3 linked regions of the Arabidopsis thaliana genome follow. The protein of the gene in region 3 binds, or shares a complex with, the protein of the main gene of each other region. Each region holds a gene or a part of one and is shown on either strand. Other genes may lie near its edges.

Region 1 (6,700 bases), on a different chromosome or scaffold from region 3:
TAAAGTTCATATATTATAAATATTCTAAACCCATCTTATAATCTAATCTCAACCGTTAAAATTAAATATTATTTTTTTATTTTTTGTTCGAATAATAGTTTTATTAAAAGATTTATAATCACATCAATTTAAAAGTTTTATTTCAAATGATTATTTAATTTTTATAGATTTCATATATTATAAATATTATAAAACATTTTTCCTAAATATTTTAAATGTTTAATTAAATATAATATTTATCTTTTAATCAAGTATATATTAATTATGTCCTAAGATTTCTCATTTTTTAAGTAATTGAAATTGATGGAAATATAATAGATAAGGAAATGCTACAAATTAGGAATATTAATTAATTGATAATAATTGATAGCAATGGCATCTTTTGTAAATAAGTTTAAACTTGAGGATTTATTTGCTAAAATGGCTGCAAAAATGTATATATAGATAACAGTGTATTAATTAGGGGTAAAACAATAAAAAAATTTTTTTTCTTAATTTGTGTGAAATGAACTAAAAGGATAAGTAATATAAAACAGAGGGAAACGCGTTTTAAATTCCTTTTAATTTGGTCTCAATAGTTACAAAATATGTTTACTTGGCGTGAAAAGATTGCACCAAACCGTTTTATATCACTTATATAACAACATTCATCAGGTAGTTATGTTTGCCTTTTTTGAGTTTTAATTAAAATCGGATGAAAAAAGAAAAGTTACAAGATAACGTTTTAAAATGTTAGTCTCAATAGTTACAAGATTTAACATTAATTCTTTTTAATTTGGTCTCAGTACTTAATATTAATGGCTAGATGCCAAATGTCATTTGAACGGAATTTAATCAAAAGTTAAATAATAAAGACGAAGAAACAAATCTCATATTGTCTAAAATAAAATTTCTTAAAAATTTTTTTAAACAGAATCTATAACTTTTTATTATTATTTTAATCTTTCTAGATTTAGCTATTGAATACCCCTTCCTAAATTAAAACATATGGATTCTCTCAAGAGAGGAAACAATAATGGTATAACTTAATTATGGAGAATTCACATATTCGTTTTTGCTTTGACTATATTGATTGTCCATATTTTAGTTGATTACGGATTCATCTAGTCAATGTGATGCGTTATCTTCATAATTACGATTGACTACTATATATCTCTGTCTTCGTATATATGTGTATCTCAACTTATACTATAAAAATCAATTCACATATCACCAAAACAAAACAAAAATGAGAGAATCTGACTTAAGGATGAAGCTAGTGATACTAGTATCTTTCTTGCTCGTTCTCCCAATGTTTTCTTCAGGTATATAGATCTGATCAACTAACATATGCAAACTTATAGTAGCTTTAACATTTTATATAGGTCAATATAGAACTCCGAATTGAATAAATATGCTTCATATTTTTGTTAGGGATCGTTGAGACTTTGCATCATGACAACATCAACCGCAAGGTATTAACAATCACGGTTCTAAAAGCGTTATATATTTGATTACAAATATGCATCAAAACTAAAAACAAAAAGATATAAAACTTGTTGATTTAAAAAGGTTAAAGAGATGGTCATGAATGGAAGAAGAATCGATCTGGAGATGGACTACGCTGGGCCGCATCTAAGACCTCCCAAGCCATCCGACCCTACAATTCCAGGAACACAAGTACGTGCCCTATAGCAAAAATGAAGTATTACGAAAAGTGTCTTCCTTTTTTAATAGTGTATGAGTTTGGTTTTGAAAGGTTGATGAGGTTGTGACAAAGGAACCAACTGTCTATAACAAAGAAGACTATGGGGACTGGTCTCCAAGACCAATCCCAAAACGACCAATGCCATATGTACCTCCTCCTCCTCCTCCACCGACACGACGACCTCCTTTCACCACAAATCACTAGACCGTTACTTTTACTAAACTCTTGTCATTAGACTTTCGTCTTCATCTAGTAAATCTAAATAAATAAAATGAAATTTGGCCAAGAAAACAACAAAGCTGTGAATGCATTGATTTGGTTTTGGTAATACAAGAACAAAAGCTGTAAAGTACATTGACACTTTTTGTTATAATATATCAAGTGTAGTACTCCAACAAATAGCCAGGACCGGGTTTGTAAGGATCAGCTTCTACATAAGCCTCAGGGCGATCAAAGCCGAGATCGTTCACACGGTTGCTTAGAACATGAAAGATGGCTTTTTTGGAACCTCCATATTCGTCTCTGTTCTTGTCCACGTACTCTGTTGCTTCAGCTGCTACGCTATTGACAAATTCAAACCGATTGTCTTCCCTCAAAAGAAGCTGCTCTATGTCCATTGTCATTACCTTCCCAACTTCTCTTATCTTCCTTACTTGTTCTTCCACAAATGGAACTCTTTGCATTTTGTAACGCAACATATCGTCCTTCTTCGTCTACAGACAAAACAGGAGAACGACATAGAGAGATTAAAAGCGGGACAAATATAAACAAAGATTTTGCATTGTTCTGGCTTTGGTAATTATTGAAATCTCAAAACCTCATGAACCTGATAGGATCAAACAACAGAAACTGATAGTTTGTAGAATATAGTACAAGTAAAAAGATCACACTAATATTTTATGTAATGTGTAACTCCCACCTAAAAATCCCAGTATCTCAGATAAGACAATCTCCAATTTCTTGCATGTGCCATAGAGATAAGACCATGGTTACTTGAATATATATAAGTAAACACTAACTAGAGGTAAAAAGCCATGTTTCTTTAAGTTCATCAACAGTATAAGAACTAAAGCTAGCGTCTGAAATGAGCATAGTTCAACAAAGACACTTTTGAAACAGGTGTGTAAGCTAATTTGGAATCAAGAAGGGTAAACTAGAAATCGCAAAAACTCAGAGAAGACAATCTCCATCTCTCCTTCTATGCATCATATCAATTACTATGACTAAGTAAAGACTAACTAGAGTTAATAGTCATGCCTCATCAGTGAGTTAAAGCTAATCTGTGATCCTACTAAAAATTGCAACTTTTTAGAAATGTCGTCTCCAAGCAAAGAAAAACCCTTATTTTGATTCCTGATTCGACTTATGTCATAAACATGAAACTGGAAAATCACCAAAATATCAAGTTTAGTACTTACCAATGTTCTCCTCCGCCAAACACGGCGTCCATTATCATCTCTCTGAATCCCACAAGAAACCTGAAAAAATCAACCAGATTCACTCAAAACTCTCCCCCAAAAACCCACAAATTCGTATATATATCAACCATTCAAAACCTGAGACTGAAATGTGCATCGCAAATTCCCACTTCTCGTATCAATAATCTGAATATACAATAATTGAAAATGAGAAATCACATTGACATCAAAGGATGATTATGAGAGAAGCAAAGGAGGGATTTTTACAGGTAAAATCGAAGATGGAGAAGAACAGGTGAAGGAAGCCATTGATACACAGTGAATAGATAGAACCGGATCCTATTTTATATGTAAGCTTCTCCGGTTCGGTTTAATGGTTTATCTTTGGTTGTGTTCGTATTTGGACAAATCATTCCTAACCGAACCGGGCATTTTTTTTTCTCGTCATTTTATCTATACAATAATAATTCAACTTGCACAAAAAAAAAATCTAAAACAAATCAAAACTAACAACAAATCTAAAATCATATAATTTTACTTGGTACACAAAAATAATATTTTTCAGAAATCAATCAATCTAATAATAGTTAGTGGGAACCCTCTATTGTGACTTTGTGAGCTATGTATATACATAAGACATTACAAGATGGAACCTCAACATAGTTGATAAGCAAAGAAATTAACTCTATCGATCACCGGATGAGAAAATGGCTTCTAGGAATCATCTCTTAATATGTTGTGTTCTCTTAGCTATGATCATGATCGGGCATGCTCAAACCAACCGGAAACTTCTTGACGATAATGTACCATCATCTTATTTTCCATCGATGGAGTCTCGTCAGGTTTTTCTTCCTTCTTCTCATCGTTCACTTGTTGCTGAGCATTACGACAGATCACCACCTCCACCACCACCCAAAAGATCAGAAGTTGAACCCCAAACTGATGGTGTCTAGACCATTGAGTGATGGTGAGAATCGGCCCTGATGAAAAGACTCGTGAGTTGGTACCATGTTTTGAAAGAGCATACATATGTTTTGATGTTTGGTTTTATGATCCGGTTTATAAGAGCTACCTAATTTTTGAAGGCTTGGTTTGATTTAGTTTTCTTTGCTTTCTAAAGTAAAATCTCCGGAAAAGTTGTCTCTGTTTTTTTCTTCTTTATTTTTATCTGTATACGTGTACTTCATTCTTGGTGACAATAAATTTGACTTGTTTCAAATTAATTAATGTAATATTTGTAAATGGTAAGTTAATACAACAGAAAAGTCGATGATACTATCTTTTTGAATAGGTAGATTTACCGAACGAATACCACATTACCACGGCTTAAAAAAAAAAAAAGAAAAAAGGGAGGATTAGTCTCAAACATTCTTAATCAATTTCAAAAACTGGATAAATAAAAGCAAAAGTTTCAAAAACATAATTATTCTTGCAACAGTAATTGATGCAAAATATATATTAAACTGTCAAATAATATTTCGAGAACGAAATTGTATATATAAACTTGCTGTTAATTTGGTTAAAATCGGCAGTAAAATAATTCACAGCAAGTTTTACTACGCTTGTAAACAAAACTGCATTCACACTCTGACAGTCATAAGGTATACACAAAATCATAGAATCATGGACATATTTTGTAACACATATATTGACAATTTGACATTACGTAAATGCAATTAAAACTGGAATGTAATTTCCGGTTTACCAGTCAACATACAAAACCAGCTTTCGGTTTAATATTCGTCCAAATAAGTGTAGAGCGTATCGTCCTTCTTTGTTTTGCGTCGGCTAAGTAGCGCCTTTAGCAGCCGTTTGCTCTTGCTCGGTTGTTGTTGATGCTCTGGTTCTTTCTGAGCTTCTTTCTCGAACGCAACCCGAACCGAAGCCGATCTTCTTGGTTCTGACGGATACTGAGCCAGAAAATATCAAGAATCAACCGTTAGAGATAGAGCCTAGAAGTGAGTGTTTTTGAAATGTAACCGAAGCTTACCCGTTTAGGAGTTGGAGTTACCGCTCTACTCTTGCTCGGGGTTGTTGGCCGGCTGATTGATGACGGTCGGATAGCAACCGAACCAGATCTTAGCAGCGGAAACCGATGTGGTGATACTGCTCGCTTATCTATTTTACCATGCACACTGTTTAAAGGTTCTGTTTACATATTAAGCCAAAAACGGCAATTTCAAGGTGAAGCTGTCTTTTACCTTGTTCTTTCTTTGGTGCGGTGGCGATAGAGGAGAACGAAAAGGTTGCTGAACGTTGAGGTTTCCGTTGAGAGGGAGACTGAAGTATCGGTTTTCTGCAAAAAGCGATAAAAGTTTAGTACTTCTCGGTCATTTGACAAGGGAACTCACTATGAGTACTGGACTATACCTAACAGGTGGTGGAGGCGTTTCACGAATTGTAGCGCGAACAGCTTTAAGAATTCACAACAAGAAACATATCAAATCAAGAATCAAGGCAATTTCTAAGTAAATGAAATGGCAATTTATACCATTTCTGAATTGGTTCCAGTCATCTTCTCCATCAAAACTACCTTCAACATTCTTAAGCTTTGCGAGGTTGCCACCTCTTTTGATTTCACCAGCTGATAGAGAATTTCGTTTTTGTTAGCTGAGTCCCAAAACCGACAAATAAGAGAACGAAAGTTTGTAGAAACATATAGGGAACTTTGGAGAGTCGAAACTTACAAGGCAAGAAGTACCGCTTGTGGAACTTTGGAGTGTCGATCACAAGTGATTGCTGGGAACGACCTTCATGATCCATGTACTCTTGGCACATCCGTAGCCTCTATACACATATAAGAAAGTTCAGTAATACAAACAAGAATCATTCTCAAAAATGCCAACTGAATAAAACTAAAGCAGAAATATCTGTCCATTTGAAGAATAATGGATACCTGTTCAATGCAAGATACTCGCAGTTCGGTTCCTGCTACTTCATCGACTTTTTCATCTACAAAGTCATTTACTTTATATGTAACAGACCCCAAATGGTCAACTGTATTCACCAGAGCCTTTATTGCATAATCTTTCAGTGTCTCCACGACTCTACATACACAAGTAAAAACTTACAAAACTCCAAGAAAAGAGAACAATCACAATTAGGGAGAGGAATAAACTCACTCACATCTGTTTTTGTTCATCGTTTGTGTAGGATAGTTCGAAATACTCAGCTGCTGAATACAACTGTGTTCTCAGATTCTTCAGATCCTGTATAACAAAGATGTTTACTAAACTATTTGCAGAACATGTAAACAGAAGATTTAAGGCTTTAGCAATGATCACAAAATCCATTAAGATTATTCAACTTGATACTTTAGAATCTACCTTGAGACTATCAGAGAAGAGCATGCTCTGTTGCATAGAGATCTCATCGTAATTAGACGCTTCTCGGGGCATAGGCATTGTAGCTGCTGCACTCATTTTTAATTCAAAGATTAACAGTGGAATCTCAAATGCTGCTTTCTGTTTTCACTGTGGAAATGAAATGATCAAACAAGAATGAAGAAAACAAATAGTCAAATCTTCAGCGATGGTATTTGTAAGAATACTCGAAAATTTCAAGCTGCTAGCAAAATGAAACTAAAGCAACTAAT
Region 2 (8,609 bases), on a different chromosome or scaffold from region 3:
TTTTTGTGTTTCTTTTTTGCTATTTCACTGTTTTATTGAGAGATCTAGAGAGAGAGGAGAGAGGGGTCAAAGAGAGGTCAGAGGAGAGATGTGGGGAAATGGAATGGGAAGGCTCGTAGAATGAAAATGTTTCGGCTTTTAGCCTTTTATCAATCAATGGAGGGGCAAAGGTCAACGGTCGTACTATGATGTTCGTGTGTACATTTATTCGTCCGTGGAGACATGTTATATAATTAAAACAGTGCCTAAACTTTGACATAACATTTGGTCTTCTTAGGAAAGAAAAAAAAAAAAACATTTGGTCTTCTTTAGAAACCACAGAATATATAAATAAATAGTGGAGTAGTACACTTTACATTCACATCAAACTTGTAAAATTATAAGCTTATAATAAGTACATTCTATTTCGTTTGATCAATTAACAACTTATGACATTTAGATTCGTGGATGTTGTTCCACTATATTCTAATTAAATTCTGTATTGAAGTTCCGATCGATTCATATCTCTTGGACTCTAACGACTTGGAGTTAAGTTAGAAAAGATTTAGAGGATTCCACAAATGATAAATGATCCCAACAAGTTTTCTCATTTCATACTTCCATTATCTATTTATTATCTATCAAACACATGATTACTACTCTGAATGTATAGAGTGTCAACTCTACACGATTCCTTAATTTTTCTTTTTAGTGTCTTTGTGATACGCAATCATTTGATTTATCAATTTCGTGAGAAGTTAGAGTTCTTTGTTCTCCTATTTCTTTTCGACAAGTTTAGTTGTTTAATTTTATCAAAAAGAAAAGAAAAGTTTAGTTGTTTATTAGTAATAGACCTTTTATTAGTTATATAAAGGAAAAGTAACAATAATGAATAATAGAAAATAAAATGGTGATGCATGGCTTTGACCTTGGACAAGGAGAAAAGAGTGGTTGAGAAAATGACTTGGTTGAAGTATATATTTTTGGCTTTGGTTATGTCACAAAGTGTGTTAGCTTCTCATCACTTCAACCTTTTCACGACAAGGAGAGCAGTTGTGGTATGATCGTACATTAACATGGCATCATATGATTATGCCCTATATTTTATTACCAAGTCAAACATAATTCTTATTAAAATTTGCAAACATAATTTTTTCATCCATCTTTTTCTTTATTACCCAAATAAGTTCGGTGATACTTTCCCAATTTATATGTTCATCGAAGTAAAGAATCAACTCGTGAGTTTTGAATAATTTCGTGTGTTTTTTGCCTTCAAAAATTGAGGTTAATAATAGATATAATATGTTGTTGTCGATTCGGAATCTAGCTTGAATTTAATCACACCTATCTAATTATAGGAAAAAAGGAATAATACATCGAATAATATTGTCATTTTCATAAATTGTTATTATTATATAAATTTTGGTTGACTGTAATAACGCTAGATCGAATCAAGTTTACGTACAACAACTTGTTCGATAATTGATAATCTATAATTAAAAATGTTAATATTCTACTGAACGAGATTCTAAATCCAAAAGAATGAGACAAAGGAATTATCTTCGATCCACCAAAAAGATCAAGATGCTTATTTTTTTTTATTTTTTTTTGTCTATTGTTTGGTTGATTTATACTTTAATTAATCTTAAATTCAAAGGAATAATTTCATTATGCATGGCAAGAATTATGAAACGCATAGTGGTCTTACTTCAAAAATAAAATATTCAACATATTGAAGATAATTATTAAGAATCAAGTTAGTCAATGTAAAGTATCAAATAAGTAGCCAAAGGTAAGAAATAGATTGCTTATGGTTCTGTATAACTCAGAGTAGGTTTGTTTGGTTTGGACCGTAACTTTTTTTGAAAATAGTAATGTTAGACAAAGAGTAGAAGAAACGCAATATGATTTGATTGATTAGTGTAACCACAAGGTTAATAAATAGTATAAGTAATAATCAATTATTGAGACTAATCAACATTATAGTTCGGCGTAAGAGACACAATTACCCTAAAACATTTGAGACACTAATCATGCTTAGGGACTAAAAACATGAACATGAATTAATCAAAAGAGAAAAAAAAAACACAGATGATTCCAAAGCGTTTGTTGGCTAATCAAACTCATTAAAGCAGCCAAGAAAAGAAGAGGTTATGATTTGTTTGTGATTGCGATTAAAACAAACTAACACACTTAGTCTAACTGTTCCATACAAATACATAACCTTACACTAAACAAAAAAAAAAACAGGAACCTTTCAATTACATGGTGCAGTTTCTAAGTAGCTCAAGGGAGTGAGCACCAAGTATGAATCTCACTCAGCTCATAATTATTTTTTGCTTGAATCAATAGAGTAACCGTTCTTGATAGATGTCAAGTGCCTTGATAATTTTTCCGATGAACATCTTTCTGTGCATTCTATACTTAACCGCTGTTGCAAATGTTGTCCTTGCTTCTGACATTGAATCTGTCACAACAACAAGAGGGAAAGCTTAAGTTTTAGTATATGAGCGATAATAGATAATAACACATTGGTGTATATATCTTTAGTGTAATACCTAGCAACTTCTGGTCTTGCTCTGCTGTTGTGGGATATTCCGCAAGCATCTTTCGACATTCATCTTGCAATTCTTTAACTGCTTTTCTTTCCGCACTCGGTATTGGAGGAAGATCTATGTCTGACCAAGTAGGTAATGTTCTTGCTGCAGCGATAACTGCTCCATCAACAAAAGTATCGCCCCTCGATAACTCGCCTGCCACAGATTTAGGTAACATTGGTGCTCATTTCTCCATCTTTTGTCAAGGAATAGAGAGGAAACAGAAGAAAAGGAACTTACTGTCATGGTAATATTCTTCAGGAAGACCATAAATATTGAAGACCGATAAAAAGGAATTTAAATGGATGCGAGAATCTCCAGAGAACTTTATAGCATCCCACGGATTCTGCAGCAGACCAGAAAAACTGAATAAACGAGAAAACTTGCAAAGGAAACATAGTTTGTGTAAGATGAATGTGATTGTCGTAAAAAGCATTACCACAGGAGTTGAGAAGCCGTATCTTTCCATAAGCATGTTGTTTTTCTGGCCTGGCATGTAATTAATCGTCATCTGTGAAAAGCATTATAAGAAGATAGATAAAGCAGTGAAGTGAGGCTGACACTTAGGAACATTTGAGTCTCTTACCTCTTCGCCTTTCTTAATGTCTTGACCAGCATTTGACATAACCTCCAGCATGCGATCTTTAGGACGCCAATGTAGGAAACAGTTTGGTTCAAATGAGTGGTTTAGCATGTCTGCAGAGAATGATCAATCGTGAGATTCTTATTTAGTTCCTCAACAAAAAGTTCATTGATACTAAATCTTAATTTATCAATAACTACACAACATGCTCTTCCTTACCAGCATAAGGAATCATCATATTTAATTCCTGAACCAAAGCACCGACCCTAGTTTGCATACTGATGCATCGTGTCTGTGCCATACTAACCGCCCATATGAATCTTTCTGGATCCTCGGCAAGCCTTTTGATTTTGAGAGGAACACCTGAATGCTGAGACGGAATACAATTTGCCAATGAAAAACAAAGCAATAACCAAATGTCAAGATATACTGGAAACACATATATAAGGCCTCATTACCCAATTCTTTTCCCAAAAATCTAGGATTCGTTTCTGTTGTTGTCTGATAGTTGAAACAAGATCAGGATCTTGAAGCTCCGCAAGGTCTTCCTATAGAAAAACACACAGAATTAGATATCATCAAGCATTAGTTTAAAGACACAAGTAAATGTGACCAGTTTCAAATGGCAATCATATCAATTCAATCCACCTCTGTAGCTAAAAGCAAGCTGCTGCACTCATCAGCAGCCGGCAGGAAATCGCCATAGAGCCGCCAGAAGTGATCATCTCGATCAAAAGAGAATAACAGAAGACACGCTAATCTGATATCCCAATCAATCTGTAAGCACAAATGTGAAAGGACTTTGAGAAAGATAAGAACTTTCGAGTTGATGATATCGAAATAGCACAAATGTGTTACTACCTCAGGATCAGTCGAGTTAATGATATCGAAAATAGGATGACCAATTGGTACAATATCAGGGAAAAACATCCAAGGGTGCTTCTGTCTAATGGTTATCATCAGTTCAAGAGGAATCTCCATAATCACCTGCAGAGAGAAAAGAAAACAAAATAATCTAAAGAGAAGAACAAAACAAAAAGTTGTCAACTTTTTAACTAAGAAGACTGACTCTAGCTCGACGGCGAGGTTCGATATCCTTAGAAGCATAGACACCAAAACCATCTGGACCTTCTTTAAACTCAACTCCATAAGCTCTCACACTTCGAACATAGCCAATTTTGTAGAAATCCGGATCTGCTGTCTCCAGCTAGTGAAGAAACAAAAGACAAAAACCCTAAATCAATCTCACATATGAGGGAAATGCACAGAATTGTCTAAAGTTACTGCCGTTAGAACTCATTTGTACCCTACATCAATCTCACAGATGAGGGCAATGCACAAGATTGTCTAAAGTTTCTGCCTTAAGAAGTCCCCTATATCAATCTCACAGATGGAGGCAATGCACAGAATTGTCTAAAGTTACTGCCTTAAGAACTCATATGTACCCTAAATCAATATCACATATGGGGGCAATGAACAGAATTGTCTAAAGGTACTACCTTTAGAACTCATTTGTACTCTAAATCAATCTCCCAGATAGGGGCAATGCAAAGAATTGTCAAAGGTACTGCCTTTTAGAACTCTATAAACCCTAAAACACTCAAAACTGAAAATCCTAACCTCGGACGAGGAAGATTCTTCGGAAGCAGGAGATTGAAACAGAGGGAAAGGTTGTGTCTCAATAGACGCAACTTTGATGGGTCGTACACCATTTTGTCTGTCTCTTAATAAATTGCTTCTGGGTCTTGGTGCTGACACAATTCCGTTGCAGAAACCCTTTGTCCGACCGGAAAAAACATGAGGAGTACTCAGAAAATTCAGACAAAGACAGACACACACACACACACATGACATAGAAACATTAGGTGATACAGAGAGATAAGATTAAGAACCTGAGGTTTGGAGATAAAGGTGTTGGTCAGGAACTGAAGAGAGACTGAAGAAGCCATTCCTCAACAGAAGAAAATGGGTTTAGCAGAGGGAGACGAAGATCGTTATCCTTTGTTTTCAAGATTTTAACTCTTAGTTTACGATATAATTTATTTGGAATAATATGTTGCAAGAAGCTTTCATAGCTCAGTTGGTTAGAGCACCCGTTTAGTAAGCGGGAGGTCTTGAGTTCAACTCTCAATGAAAGCAATATTTGTTTTATTTTCTTCAAAAGTCTCTTTACATCCAAATTATTTATTTTTTTGCCATGAAAATATACACAACTCTATCTCACTCTTTTATTTTTACAGTATAATTCATATGTACATTAATTGATCTCAAACATTTCTTTGTGTATGACAGTTTTGGTTACTTTGGTCATATACTATTAGAGTGTAAAAGGCTCGGCTTCTGATGGAACTTCACGAGCTCTTTGGCTCTCAAGTGGCATATACTGTGACATGATCGTCATAATCTCTGAGTCCATGTAAGACTGTTAATAGGAACACCAAAGAAAAGTTAGTTTGGTAATCCTAAAACCGTTATTAAGTACAAAAATGCTTTTGTGGAATCAGAAAGAGTAGTAGTACCCTGAACCGGTATTTGTAGAATATATAACCAGCTAAACCGGCTACTGCAACGATAGCCAGTATCAAGAATGTGAGCCACCATGCCGTTTTGGATCCATATCTCTCTGTAACAAACAATCATCAATGTATATTAATTAGATACTGTTATGGAATTTGAGTACTCTTAAATCTTGATTGATAAAATTTTACCTATACAAGTATCTTGATCGTTTATGTAAAGCCGGTCACCAGAACAGCTGCATTTGTATCCACCCCATGAGTTCTTGCATCTGCAACCGCTACATTGACATACCGAACGCTCTTTACATTCGTTAATATCTGCAATAGAGCCAAATCAGAAAACATAATTACATTGTTGGTAATATGATTATGTGGTTTCTTTCGAGATTTTAATCGATAAGTTAAGAGTTATGTACCTTCACACGTCAAACCGTCGCCTTGGAAACCTTCAGGACATTTGCAGCCAGTAGATACAGAGTCCTAATTTTTCATAAATAACAAAGAGATGATTGAACTGAAAACAAGAACTTTGTAAGGGAGGGTTTGGCTTATGACAAGAGAATCACTAAACTGAGCAAGCAGAGAAAGTTAAGCCGTTCCTTGTGTCAGACCAGCAACCTCCATTGTTCATAGTACACCTCGCAGGCCCATAAGCTGCAAAGCTCAATCACAAACCAGAGACTATTCAAGAAACCGGTCTCAACATTTGAGAGCTATGTTGTGTGAAATGTGTGAACAACTTACGTGTACATGAAGTGTACCCGTCTCCTTTATATTGAACACCTTTTACAACCGGACACTCGCAGAGTCTTCCTCTGAATGTGTCCTGATCAAACAAAAAAGATTCAAGTATTATAGGACTAGAAAATATCTCTCTAGATTTTCACATTTTCTCTAGTTTTCAAAACAATTCCAAACAAATTGATACTGATATTCAATATAGTGGTGAGATGTGATGTGGTAAGCTCGGTTTTACGACATACTTGACAAGCAGTGATGTTTGCTTTTGTATCCTGCCAGCAACCACCATTGTTTTCAAGGCACTCATTTGTCTCTAGACCTGTGTTTAAGCAAATGGCAGGCTCCGATGTTTCATTAAAACCAGCGCATATCGCCTTTAAAACCGCGGTTCTCTCCAATCTCCCTTCACAATTGCAACCAATAACAACAGAAACTTCAGCATCTTCATAAAGAGAGAGTGAAACTGAAAAAATATCAAGTACCAAACCTCGATATTGAGCGTTATTGATGACTAATGTTGGCAATATCGTAACATCTCCCCGGTTTCCTCGGCCAATCTTGAAATAGTTACAGTTAGTAACCAAACCTCTGAAATGTTTCTTCAAAACTCTAAATAAAGATAGATTAAGAAACTAACCTGAGATACTTGCTCAGTTCTCAGAACTTGGTTCTCTGTATCAGCCTCAGGATCACCAATGCATTTCTTGATCTTCTCAATAGGTAAATCTGAAAAAAGTCTTAAAGATTCATAACCTAAACAAAGAAGACTCTCTTTCTTTAAAATCTAAAAAGGAAAAGAAAAAAGATTCTTACTCAGAGATTTGATGACACTCTCAGCACAATCTATGCTGTATTTCTTCTCCTTCATCGAACATCGAGAATGAAAATCGGTAACATAATCCCACCAAACCCAAGGCCTGCTACTCTCATTCGCAACTCTATGCACACAAAGCTGTCTCAGATTCTCAAGCACAACATCTTTCCCTTCATACCCTTCTCTGAAATTATCCTCAGGGTCAGGAGCACAATACCTCCCATGGTTTATACACTGAGACTTACAATGTGGACTGTTTATAAACTGAAAAGGGCAAAACCAAGTAATATAATGCGGCGTAAACGCGGTATAACCGCCTTTTTCGAGTATCTGAGCATGACCTTTAAAGTTCTTGACAAAGTCCATCTGTTCATCACACCGTGCACCACACTCATCATTGCTATTAGTCCACAGCTCATATTCTACTCTCTTATCAGGATGAGGCACAGACTCTCTCCAATCTAGTTTTATAACTATGTTTTTCCCTTTCTGAAACCCTTGTCTTAAGTCATCTCCAAATGATTTATCGATTAACACCGATGGGATTGTTAGCTTCTCTATGAAACCATCCGCATCTTTGCTCTCCTCTGGTGAATCCATTGTCAACAATGGCTCGTCTACATTATCCGCCACAAGAACTGCAGCCGCGCCTGCTTGCTGCGCGTGCCACGCTTTTAAGGCAAAGTAGCAACCTAAAAACATCCAATAATGGAGCAAAGATTACTTGAGAGATTAAACTTTTAATCTTTCTTTGTAAAAAAAATATATCTTTCTGCTCAAAATGTATTTTTGCAGCATAACCCATAAAGTCCTATTGGCTAATAACATAGCAGACTAAAGTTTAAATCTTTGAACTCAAACAAAACAACAGTAAATGGACAAAACAGAGGTTTTAACTTTTAAAGATGTTTTTAACTTTTTTACCTCCACGATCAAGAAGCAGAATAGTGGGACGAGGAAACTTGGGCTTGAAGGTTTTACCAAAAGCAGAGCATCCATCGGTTTTACTATCCGGATAAACCACTGACCCGATTAAAAACCCACCGTAATCGGGTAAACCGAAATTGGCTATCGAGCCGTCGTGCTTCGACCTCATCTCCTCTGGATTCAGCACGCTTATGCTTTCTTTCTCCACCACAAACCTAGCCTCGACGACCATAGCGATGATGGTCAACGCCGCGAGGAGAAAGGTCAACGAAGCTCTCCCGTTGACTAAACCCATCTCTGAAGAATCCACCAAGAAGAGTTTGATCGATGATAACCTTTCTGGTACTATTTCCCGGGGAAATGAAGGAGAGATTCAGAGAGAAAAATCAAAAACAGAGGAAAAGTTAAAACAGAAAACTTCTGTGGAACTGTTTCTGATTGAAGATGAT
Region 3 (8,198 bases):
TGTTGGACATTGCTTCAGTTGTAGAAGAAAAAACTGTCAAACCCCAACTTTAAATTTTCTCACTTTTTGTCACTGAACTTGTTGAGTTGGTCATTGTTTTTTTAACTTTGATTTATTGCTGTAACTTCTTTTCTTTTCCGACTGCTGAAAGAGTAAGATTGTCCTTTCCTAGGAGGAGCTTGACCCATTTTCGCTTGTTGCCGATGAGCTGTCACTTCTTAGTAATAAGTTGAGAGAGATGGTACTTGCCGAGGTGAGTGGCCTTTTTTCATTCATTAGTACTCATTGTGTGCACAATGGTGTGGTGAAAGCAAATTTGCTACTGATGTTCTGAAGCTAATCTCTATTTTTTTTCTATATTCTGCTGTTTAGGTTCCAAAGCTTGCCTCTGCTGCTGAGTACTTCTTCAAAAGGGGTGTGCAAGGAAAACAGTTTCGTTCAACTGTAATGACCATAATCTCTTTATGTCACCATATCTTGTTTTCATGTTCTGGTTCATTCTCTCTTGGTATCATAACCAGTCTGGTATCATGTTTGTAGATTTTGCTGCTGATGGCGACAGCTCTGAATGTACGAGTTCCAGAAGCATTGATTGGGGAATCAACAGATATAGTCACATCAGAATTACGCGTAAGGCAACGGGGTATTGCTGAAATCACTGAAATGATACACGTGAGTAACTATAGTTTTACTCATAACATTCATTAAAGATCAAGATCCAGTATCCTCCCTTTTAAAATTAGTAATGCTCGGGTCATTGTAGGTCGCAAGTCTACTGCACGATGATGTCTTGGATGATGCCGATACAAGGCGTGGTGTTGGTTCCTTAAATGTTGTAATGGGTAACAAGGTACTCACTTGACAGTAGAAGCTAAGACATGATTAAATATGCTTTTTGGCGATTGTGCTGCAATTTGGATATGAAGATCACCATTGGCTTCATGTTGTAGATGTCGGTATTAGCAGGAGACTTCTTGCTCTCCCGGGCTTGTGGGGCTCTCGCTGCTTTAAAGAACACAGAGGTAAAAGAAACTAATAAACGTGACCCTGGTATTTTAAACTTTTCGAAGAAATCTTTACTTTTTATAAGATACTGTGGTTGACAGGCTATATTGAATCTCCCGTGATATACAATCTAGAATCAATGACATCTGTCTTCAGAATTAATTATCACTTCTTCGAAGCCATACATCTTCATTGTGTCTCTTTTTTTGTAGGTTGTAGCATTACTTGCAACTGCTGTAGAACATCTTGTTACCGGTGAAACCATGGAGATAACTAGTTCAACCGAGCAGCGTTATAGGTATAATCTTCTTTTCTGGTCGATAAAAACAAGACTACTCAAGTCTTCTATGCTACTAATGTATGTTTGAGAATCAAAACAAGAGTCGATTTTATCATCAAAAACCCGATCGCGGCTTATATAGGAACTGGAATTCATATAATAGTGATCGGTAATGCAAATATGATTTTTTTCATGATTGCAGTATGGACTACTACATGCAGAAGACATATTATAAGACAGCATCGCTAATCTCTAACAGCTGCAAAGCTGTTGCCGTTCTCACTGGACAAACAGCAGAAGTTGCCGTGTTAGCTTTTGAGTATGGGAGGAATCTGGTTCGTTGTCTTCTTCTGAAAACTTTGGCTCCATTGCAACTAATTTTCTTACAGTACTTTGATGAACTTCTAATTTTTCAGGGTTTAGCATTCCAATTAATAGACGACATTCTTGATTTCACGGGCACATCTGCCTCTCTCGGAAAGGGATCGTTGTCAGATATTCGCCATGGAGTCATAACAGCCCCAATCCTCTTTGCCATGGAAGAGTTTCCTCAACTACGCGAAGTTGTTGATCAAGTTGAAAAAGATCCTAGGAATGTTGACATTGTAAGTTTGAAAGAAACAAATCTCCTAAAATCTATAATATGTTTTCATAGTCTCTAATACTATTATATCACACAGGCTTTAGAGTATCTTGGGAAGAGCAAGGGAATACAGAGGGCAAGAGAATTAGCCATGGAACATGCGAATCTAGCAGCAGCTGCAATCGGGTCTCTACCTGAAACAGACAATGAAGATGTCAAAAGATCGAGGCGGGCACTTATTGACTTGACCCATAGAGTCATCACCAGAAACAAGTGAGATTAAGTAATGTTTCTCTCTATACACCAAAACATTCCTCATTTCATTTGTAGGATTTTGTTGGTCCAATTCGTTTCACGAAACAATAATGTTTGACAAGCTGTGGCTTTGGTTTTAAACTACACATGACAAAAAAAGGAGACAGATACTAATTGTGAAATCATATTCCTTGCGAATTCGGTTTAGGTCTTGTTTTAACAGATTAAACCGTCTCAAGCTGAACTAAACAGGATGCAGTACAGTTAACAAATCACTTTCAAAACTCTATAAATTCAATCAAAAATATTTGAATTCCATATGATACAAATCACTTGCAAAACTCAAATCCACTCCTAAATGATATCATCCCTTCCAAGTATACAAGCAAAACCAGTGAAGAAAAAGTTGCCCTAAATAACGTCTTTACATAAGAAATACGAAAACCAGGTTTAAGGATCAGTCTCCTCTTCAAAGTCCATGAGAAAATCAGTTAAGTTCTCAGCATCATCCACGGCCTCGTCTAGAGACATCCGACCTTCCTTCTTTGGTTTAGGCTGTTTAAGAAACCAAGCTCATAACATCAACACACCACACAAGACATATAATGTGGCTCAAGTTGAATGTGACTTTACCTTGGCGGTGCGAAGCTCAGGGGTTTCCTTCAAGACACTCCAGTTCCTCGGCACTTTCTCGTCGTCTTTTTCTACATCTGCATCGTCTTCGTCGTCCTGTCAAAAAATGTCCGGAGATGTTTCAGAGCATGATACATCAAGAAACAATAAAGAAGAAGAGGATCTGATGTAATCGATGATACTCACATCGTTTTCACCAATATCAACAGCTTGTGCCATTGCATCATCCATGTCAGGTACCTGCATTCATACAATTTATCGAACATATCAAGCGAAACCCTGAAATCTCACAATCAGAGTTGTGTCAAAGGAAATGAAAGATTGGTCACTTTACCTCGAGCTGCTCGGTTTTCTCTTTTGTCAGTAGTGCTTCATGCATCTCTCTTGAGATGACTTTGCCATTCTGATCAAATCAGAAACAAAGAAAACAATCAGACCAAGAAAGAAAAAGAATAGAACTTTGAGCAAAGCAGACTAACCTCCTTTAGATAAGAGAGCATATTTGGTGTAGGCTCATGAAAATCAGGTCCTCTGAAATCCATAACCGCATTAGGATCTTGAATGTAGTTAATTGTCGGGTAAACTGGATCCCCGCCCCAAACTGCAAGAAACCGAGAATGTTAGTCGAACGATTGAATATCCATGATGAGTTAGTTCAAACTTCAACGGTCAAAGTTTCTTACTTTGCTTAATTTGATCCTCCCTCATCCGCATTGCCAATGGATCTCTCTTGATCCTAATATCAGTTCCCATCATTATCCGGTATTCTCTATCTGTTTGATGAGAGAACATCTCAATCAGTTGTGTGTTTTCATCTTCACCTGTCTCTTCAAAATGTTTTTGTACAGCTTCTCTTGACGTGTCTCTCTTCCATGCTTTAACCCATTCAGAATAAAAAGCCATTGGACCTTCTTTCGCTAATCTCTCTCGCTCAGCTTGCAGCCTGAGAGAAAGAAAACTCGAAAGAAAATCCTAATAAAACAGATTTTCACTTGAAAGTTCGTTAGATCAATATACCTCTCTTCCTTGAAAAGATGCCTTCTTGCTCTATAAAGAGAAGTTTCTGTGAGTGTTGGTTCTTCCCCATAGAGCTTCACTTGTCCTGTTTCTGCCATTGCCTTGAGGAAAACCTGCATCAACAACAAAAAAAAATACCATAATGGATCAAACATTGGGGAAACACACACATGTTTAAACCTGAAATCATTGTGATGACTAACCGTTTCAACATCAGGACGTCTTCTTTGCCATCTTGACCATTGTTCTTTCTCCGGTTTCCTCCAGTTCCACCACGATTCATCGCTCGTGAGTGTCTTTTCAATTTGTTTCTTTTTCGTAGGATCAATGAAAGGATGTGGCCTTCCAAGCTTTTTGTCTAATTCAAAACCAGTCTCCTCTTCTTCTCTCTCAAATTCATTCTTATAGGTAACAAACCCATCCGAGGAATCATTTTCCTCTTCTTCAGAGCTATCCTCAGAATCGGATACTTCGTCATTCGTTTCAACAGTCACATTCTCCTCAGTAGCTTTCCTATTCTTCTTTCTCCTACTTCCAGGATTCTTTCCATAGGAAGGAAAACTCGAAGACTCACCAGCTGGTTGAGGAGCTCTAGCAGCTCTAACCCGGCTCGAAGTTCCTTCAGGCCAATAATCCTCACCTGGAATACTAGCCCGAGCCCCGGACGCTGGCTCAAGCTTCCCAGAAGTTGAATCCATATAACTATGGTAAGGATGCCTCTCAACAGTCACATACTCAAATCCTTCTTCACTCTTCTTAGACCCTTCACTTACATCACCATCTCCATCCTCTTTCTTGCATTTGATACAATGTCGCAAAGACCGATCCCTAGAAGTAATCCCAGCATGCAATGTCTTGAGTGGAAACCCACATTTAACCCGTCTCTACATACATAAACAAACTTTTACCAGTTTGACATCTTGAAACAAGCTAAAATGTTCACTATCTCTAAATTAGATAAGTTTGGATCAGAACAAGAAACTTGATGTGTAAGAACCAACCTGCACAATACAATTACTGGACTTTCCACTGTCTGTGCATACTTGACCTCGGTAGAGCCAGGTGGTGGTTGATATTGACGCCATTTACACTCTTTCTACTTCTCACTGTATCATTTACAAAAACAACCGATTCAATTATGCTCAGAATCAGTTTCAAACTAGTACAAAACATAAAACCCAGATAAGAAGAACCTGATACAACAAATTGTCCATAACAAGGTACGATTTTTTTGGGCATTTTTACAAACGCTTCACACTCGAAGTTGAGGAGAAAAAGACTAACCTTTTTGTTTTACCAGGAGATTATGTAGGAAGAGGGTTTTCTATCATGGAGCTTGATTTTGAAGGGGGTTTTGGCTTCAAAAGGTTTTCACTTGTCAGTTTTTGGGTTTATCCATTTATCTCCTCCTGCGTTTATTAACATATTCTGGTGACGGCAAAATCTCTAGATTTCACGACGCGCCGGTATTAGAACGGGAATTTGTGAAGAGAAAGTATATGGGCTTGGTATATCTAACTAAGGCCCAGTATTAATGGATCTTTGAGAAATTGTGAGCTTGAAGTCTCTCTTGGGCTTTAACAAACACTTCCAAGAAGAACAAAACATCTTTTTCTTTTTTGGCAAAACATCTTCTAAACAGTTTATTATATTGATATACTTTCAAATAAAATCAATATGTGATTTGATCATTTAAAACATGCCTTAACACAAAAGATATATGGAAGAATGTTTATCGAAGTATGCATGTGAACACATCTTAGTTTTGTTAATAGATTTGCAATTTACAATTGCGATTATACAATTTTTAGATAGTTCTCTCCGTAATGGATTAATATAGTGGACTAGAGGAACATGTTACACAAAAAACATCAATCATTGTACCTTTAAGTGAATAAATACTTGTATATGATTTGTACTTCAGCGTGTGTACGTACTTGTCTAAGACACTATAGAAGGAAGAAGGTTTGGACCCAACGTGAATGGCAATTGGCTAATGTGCTAATATGGTCTGAACCAATATTAAATGGGTCTGACCAGACACATCATAGACATTACGGTATCTATCACAGGCCTATTTTAACCTAATATCCTACACTTTTTATACATTAATACTACTATTGCTTACTTCAAACTTGCTAAACGACGATAATATTTATTTCTAGGGACCAAACATATAATTGTTTTTTTGGTTTTCTGAAATTTGGCAGACGTAGACCACGTAAGACTATACCACAAAGGTCTGACTAGGCACAAGTTTCGCTGACCCGCACGCGCCTAACGTCACCTTTTGAACTATTCGTGCAACGAGCGAGACTATCCATGCGGCGTCGTTTTTTCCCAACTTCCTCTTCCTCTCGTATTGTCAAACGGTCAAACCTATACTCCTACATAAGAAAAAAAGAATCAGCAGCATATAATAGCAACATTTGAAACTTCATAAGCATATATAAAGCTAGAGATGCAAACTAAAGACAAACAATATAGCAGTTTCGAATTATATAATAGATACAATAAATAAAAAAATAAAAAAAGAATAACAACCTTTTATCAAAAATAATACTGTAATAATAATAATTTGGATACTATTACTATCTTTTCGAGTTTGCTATTTTACATAAAACAATATGTCAGGGAAAAGAATCTCAAAGCACTAAAAAAAACTGTAATTTGATGCTTTTGGTGACCGTTAATAAATGAGTGGCTAATTGGAAATCTCGTCAAACTTTTTCTGCGACATAATTCACTTCCACAAGTAATTGGAACAGAATCTCACAAGTGGCGACGTGTACTTACCTCCACATGGCACCTATCCGTTCGCTAAAAATATACTCCATGTATAGATGTGTGTAATATTACATGTGTATAAAAGCGACGACGAGGATAATCACCTCGATGAGTATTTGAGTAGATGTGGACTTGTCATGAACATTTTAGCAGAGAGACAATGCATGCATACAAACAGAGAACTAACAAATTTCTTTAGTTTTTTACCATTCGTAACTTAAAAAGTTTATTCTTTATTTACTTGTAATACACTTTTGTTAAATGTTACATAGAATAATCTCCGATTTATACATTATTTGATCAGTGATCATAGTTACTAGTATCTATTAGTTTATGGTATGTTTTGCCACTGTTGTTCAACAATGTTGCAATTCTTACAAAATTCTTGAATCAACATTCTTTTTAACAATCAACTATCGGTTAAAAATATGAACTAATAGTATATGAGCTGCTGGTATGTTTTTCTACCAAAAATCAGATATTTTTCTTTGTTTATTGCATTATGATTAATCTAAACACTAACTAAAATTAGTAGTATTATTACTGATGAAATAAAACAAAGGAGTGGTGGGGCAGAGGGAGGACAAGAACGGGACAGTGGCATAAATCAGACTGGTGAAGCTGTCCCTTGTGTTGTTGGGTACATCCCATGTGTTGTCACACTTCTCTTCTTTCTATTATAGTATTAATCAAGATCTAACAAATCATGTTATTTTATGTGTTTTCAATTATTAATCACAATTATTCTATACTCCATTCATTTCAATTGTTCACCGTCACAAGCTTGGTCCGATGATACAAAAAATTGTTATTTAATGTACATATATATAGATATACCCGATCACCTACTATGTTCCCTTGTTTTTGTGTGGTAATGAGACAAATATCAAGTTTAAAGCTAGACCAGAGATAGATATCAACAAGCATTTGTGTGAAAGGATATTTTTCATTAATTTAGTAACGTGTGGGCAGTTTTCTATATACAATTCCGTGCTAGTCACTGAACAAGTGTAGCTAACAATGTTCTAAGTTGCTCTACCAACCTCGAGCAACTATGTGTACTCTTGCTTATAACACGTCATTACAAGCTATTCAATCGAAATGTCTTGAGGGTGATGAAACTGACGAAATTCGACTGAATAGAGAATGAAAATATCTTGAGGAAGAGCTTCGGTCATAATAGCATCATGTTAGTTGACATTACAAACATAAATAGCTACCTTGAGAAAACTCTTCTTCATATCATCACGTACGCTGTGAGTGACAATTGATATTTGTGTTTAGTAAGTGTATGAGAAACAAAATTTGTATGTGTGGCATGTTATCGCAGAAAAACTCGGTGATGTGAATCTTTAATCTTGTGAAAAAGTAGAAACGATTGCAGTTATATCAAGTTACAAGTAACATTAGCCATACGTATGCGTCTATATCAATGTTGGTTCGAGTCACTTCGTTTTGCTCCTCAGCTTTCCATGAAATAAAAGAATTCCCAAAATAATTACATAAACTATAAACGGTTCTCTTGGACTTTTGATAATTTGTCTACTTTGTACAACGTTTAGCATCTTGGCCAAAAAATACATAAATAACGTTAACTATTGCGTTGTGAATTAATGGATATTTTTTGAAATTATGTCG

What was found.
Region 1: PTAC12 (region 3) and PTAC7 share a complex: the UniProt entries of both Arabidopsis thaliana proteins name them as parts of the transcriptionally active chromosome (TAC) complex.
Region 2: PTAC12 (region 3) and PTAC14 share a complex: the UniProt entries of both Arabidopsis thaliana proteins name them as parts of the transcriptionally active chromosome (TAC) complex.

Annotation. Positions count from the first base shown.
Region 1 is NC_003076.8:8,274,464-8,281,163, reverse strand, and holds PTAC7 (plastid transcriptionally active7), read right to left. Parts: upstream 3,465-6,700; 5' UTR 3,415-3,464; coding exon 3,373-3,414; intron 3,292-3,372; coding exon 3,244-3,291; intron 3,166-3,243; coding exon 3,082-3,165; intron 2,401-3,081; coding exon 2,065-2,400; 3' UTR 1,970-2,064; downstream 1-1,969. Other genes in the region: AT5G24316 (proline-rich family protein), read left to right, coding at 1,229-1,304, 1,414-1,454, 1,552-1,659, 1,739-1,891; AT5G24313 (uncharacterized protein), read left to right, coding at 3,813-4,058; ABIL3 (ABL interactor-like protein 3), read right to left, coding at 4,839-5,015, 5,096-5,223, 5,307-5,401, 5,476-5,518, 5,597-5,689, 5,793-5,892, 6,002-6,152, 6,232-6,314 and 1 more. UniProt on the Arabidopsis thaliana protein: Essential for chloroplast development, especially for thylakoid formation. Involved in plastid gene expression, probably by maintaining plastid-encoded RNA polymerase (PEP) activity.
Region 2 is NC_003075.7:10,875,413-10,884,021, reverse strand, and holds PTAC14 (plastid transcriptionally active 14), read right to left. Parts: upstream 5,206-8,609; 5' UTR 5,109-5,205; coding exon 5,052-5,108; intron 4,997-5,051; exon of another isoform or gene 4,936-4,996; coding exon 4,780-4,935; intron 4,367-4,779; coding exon 4,229-4,366; intron 4,182-4,228; exon of another isoform or gene 4,147-4,181; coding exon 4,021-4,146; intron 3,937-4,020; coding exon 3,808-3,936; intron 3,708-3,807; coding exon 3,618-3,707; intron 3,530-3,617; coding exon 3,379-3,529; intron 3,273-3,378; coding exon 3,163-3,272; intron 3,088-3,162; coding exon 3,016-3,087; intron 2,923-3,015; coding exon 2,817-2,922; intron 2,733-2,816; coding exon 2,538-2,732; intron 2,447-2,537; coding exon 2,325-2,446; 3' UTR 1,970-2,324; downstream 1-1,969. Other genes in the region: VSR7 (VACUOLAR SORTING RECEPTOR 7), read right to left, coding at 5,477-5,581, 5,679-5,782, 5,868-5,996, 6,095-6,158, 6,250-6,332, 6,423-6,504, 6,662-6,822, 6,907-6,976 and 3 more. UniProt on the Arabidopsis thaliana protein: Essential for chloroplast development, especially for thylakoid formation. Involved in plastid gene expression, probably by maintaining plastid-encoded RNA polymerase (PEP) activity.
Region 3 is NC_003071.7:14,579,488-14,587,685, forward strand, and holds PTAC12 (plastid transcriptionally active 12), read right to left. Parts: upstream 5,311-8,198; 5' UTR 5,058-5,310; intron 4,880-5,057; 5' UTR 4,859-4,879; coding exon 4,775-4,858; intron 4,658-4,774; coding exon 3,977-4,657; intron 3,887-3,976; coding exon 3,774-3,886; intron 3,700-3,773; coding exon 3,440-3,699; intron 3,358-3,439; coding exon 3,236-3,357; intron 3,160-3,235; coding exon 3,091-3,159; intron 2,997-3,090; coding exon 2,943-2,996; intron 2,853-2,942; coding exon 2,757-2,852; intron 2,679-2,756; coding exon 2,574-2,678; 3' UTR 2,348-2,573; downstream 1-2,347. Other genes in the region: GPS1 (geranyl diphosphate synthase 1), read left to right, coding at 173-253, 373-444, 541-672, 764-850, 951-1,022, 1,218-1,303, 1,488-1,620, 1,702-1,890 and 1 more. UniProt on the Arabidopsis thaliana protein: Involved in plastid gene expression. Acidic transcriptional coactivator necessary for the transactivation of many PIFs target genes (class B genes), particularly during the regulation of hypocotyl growth.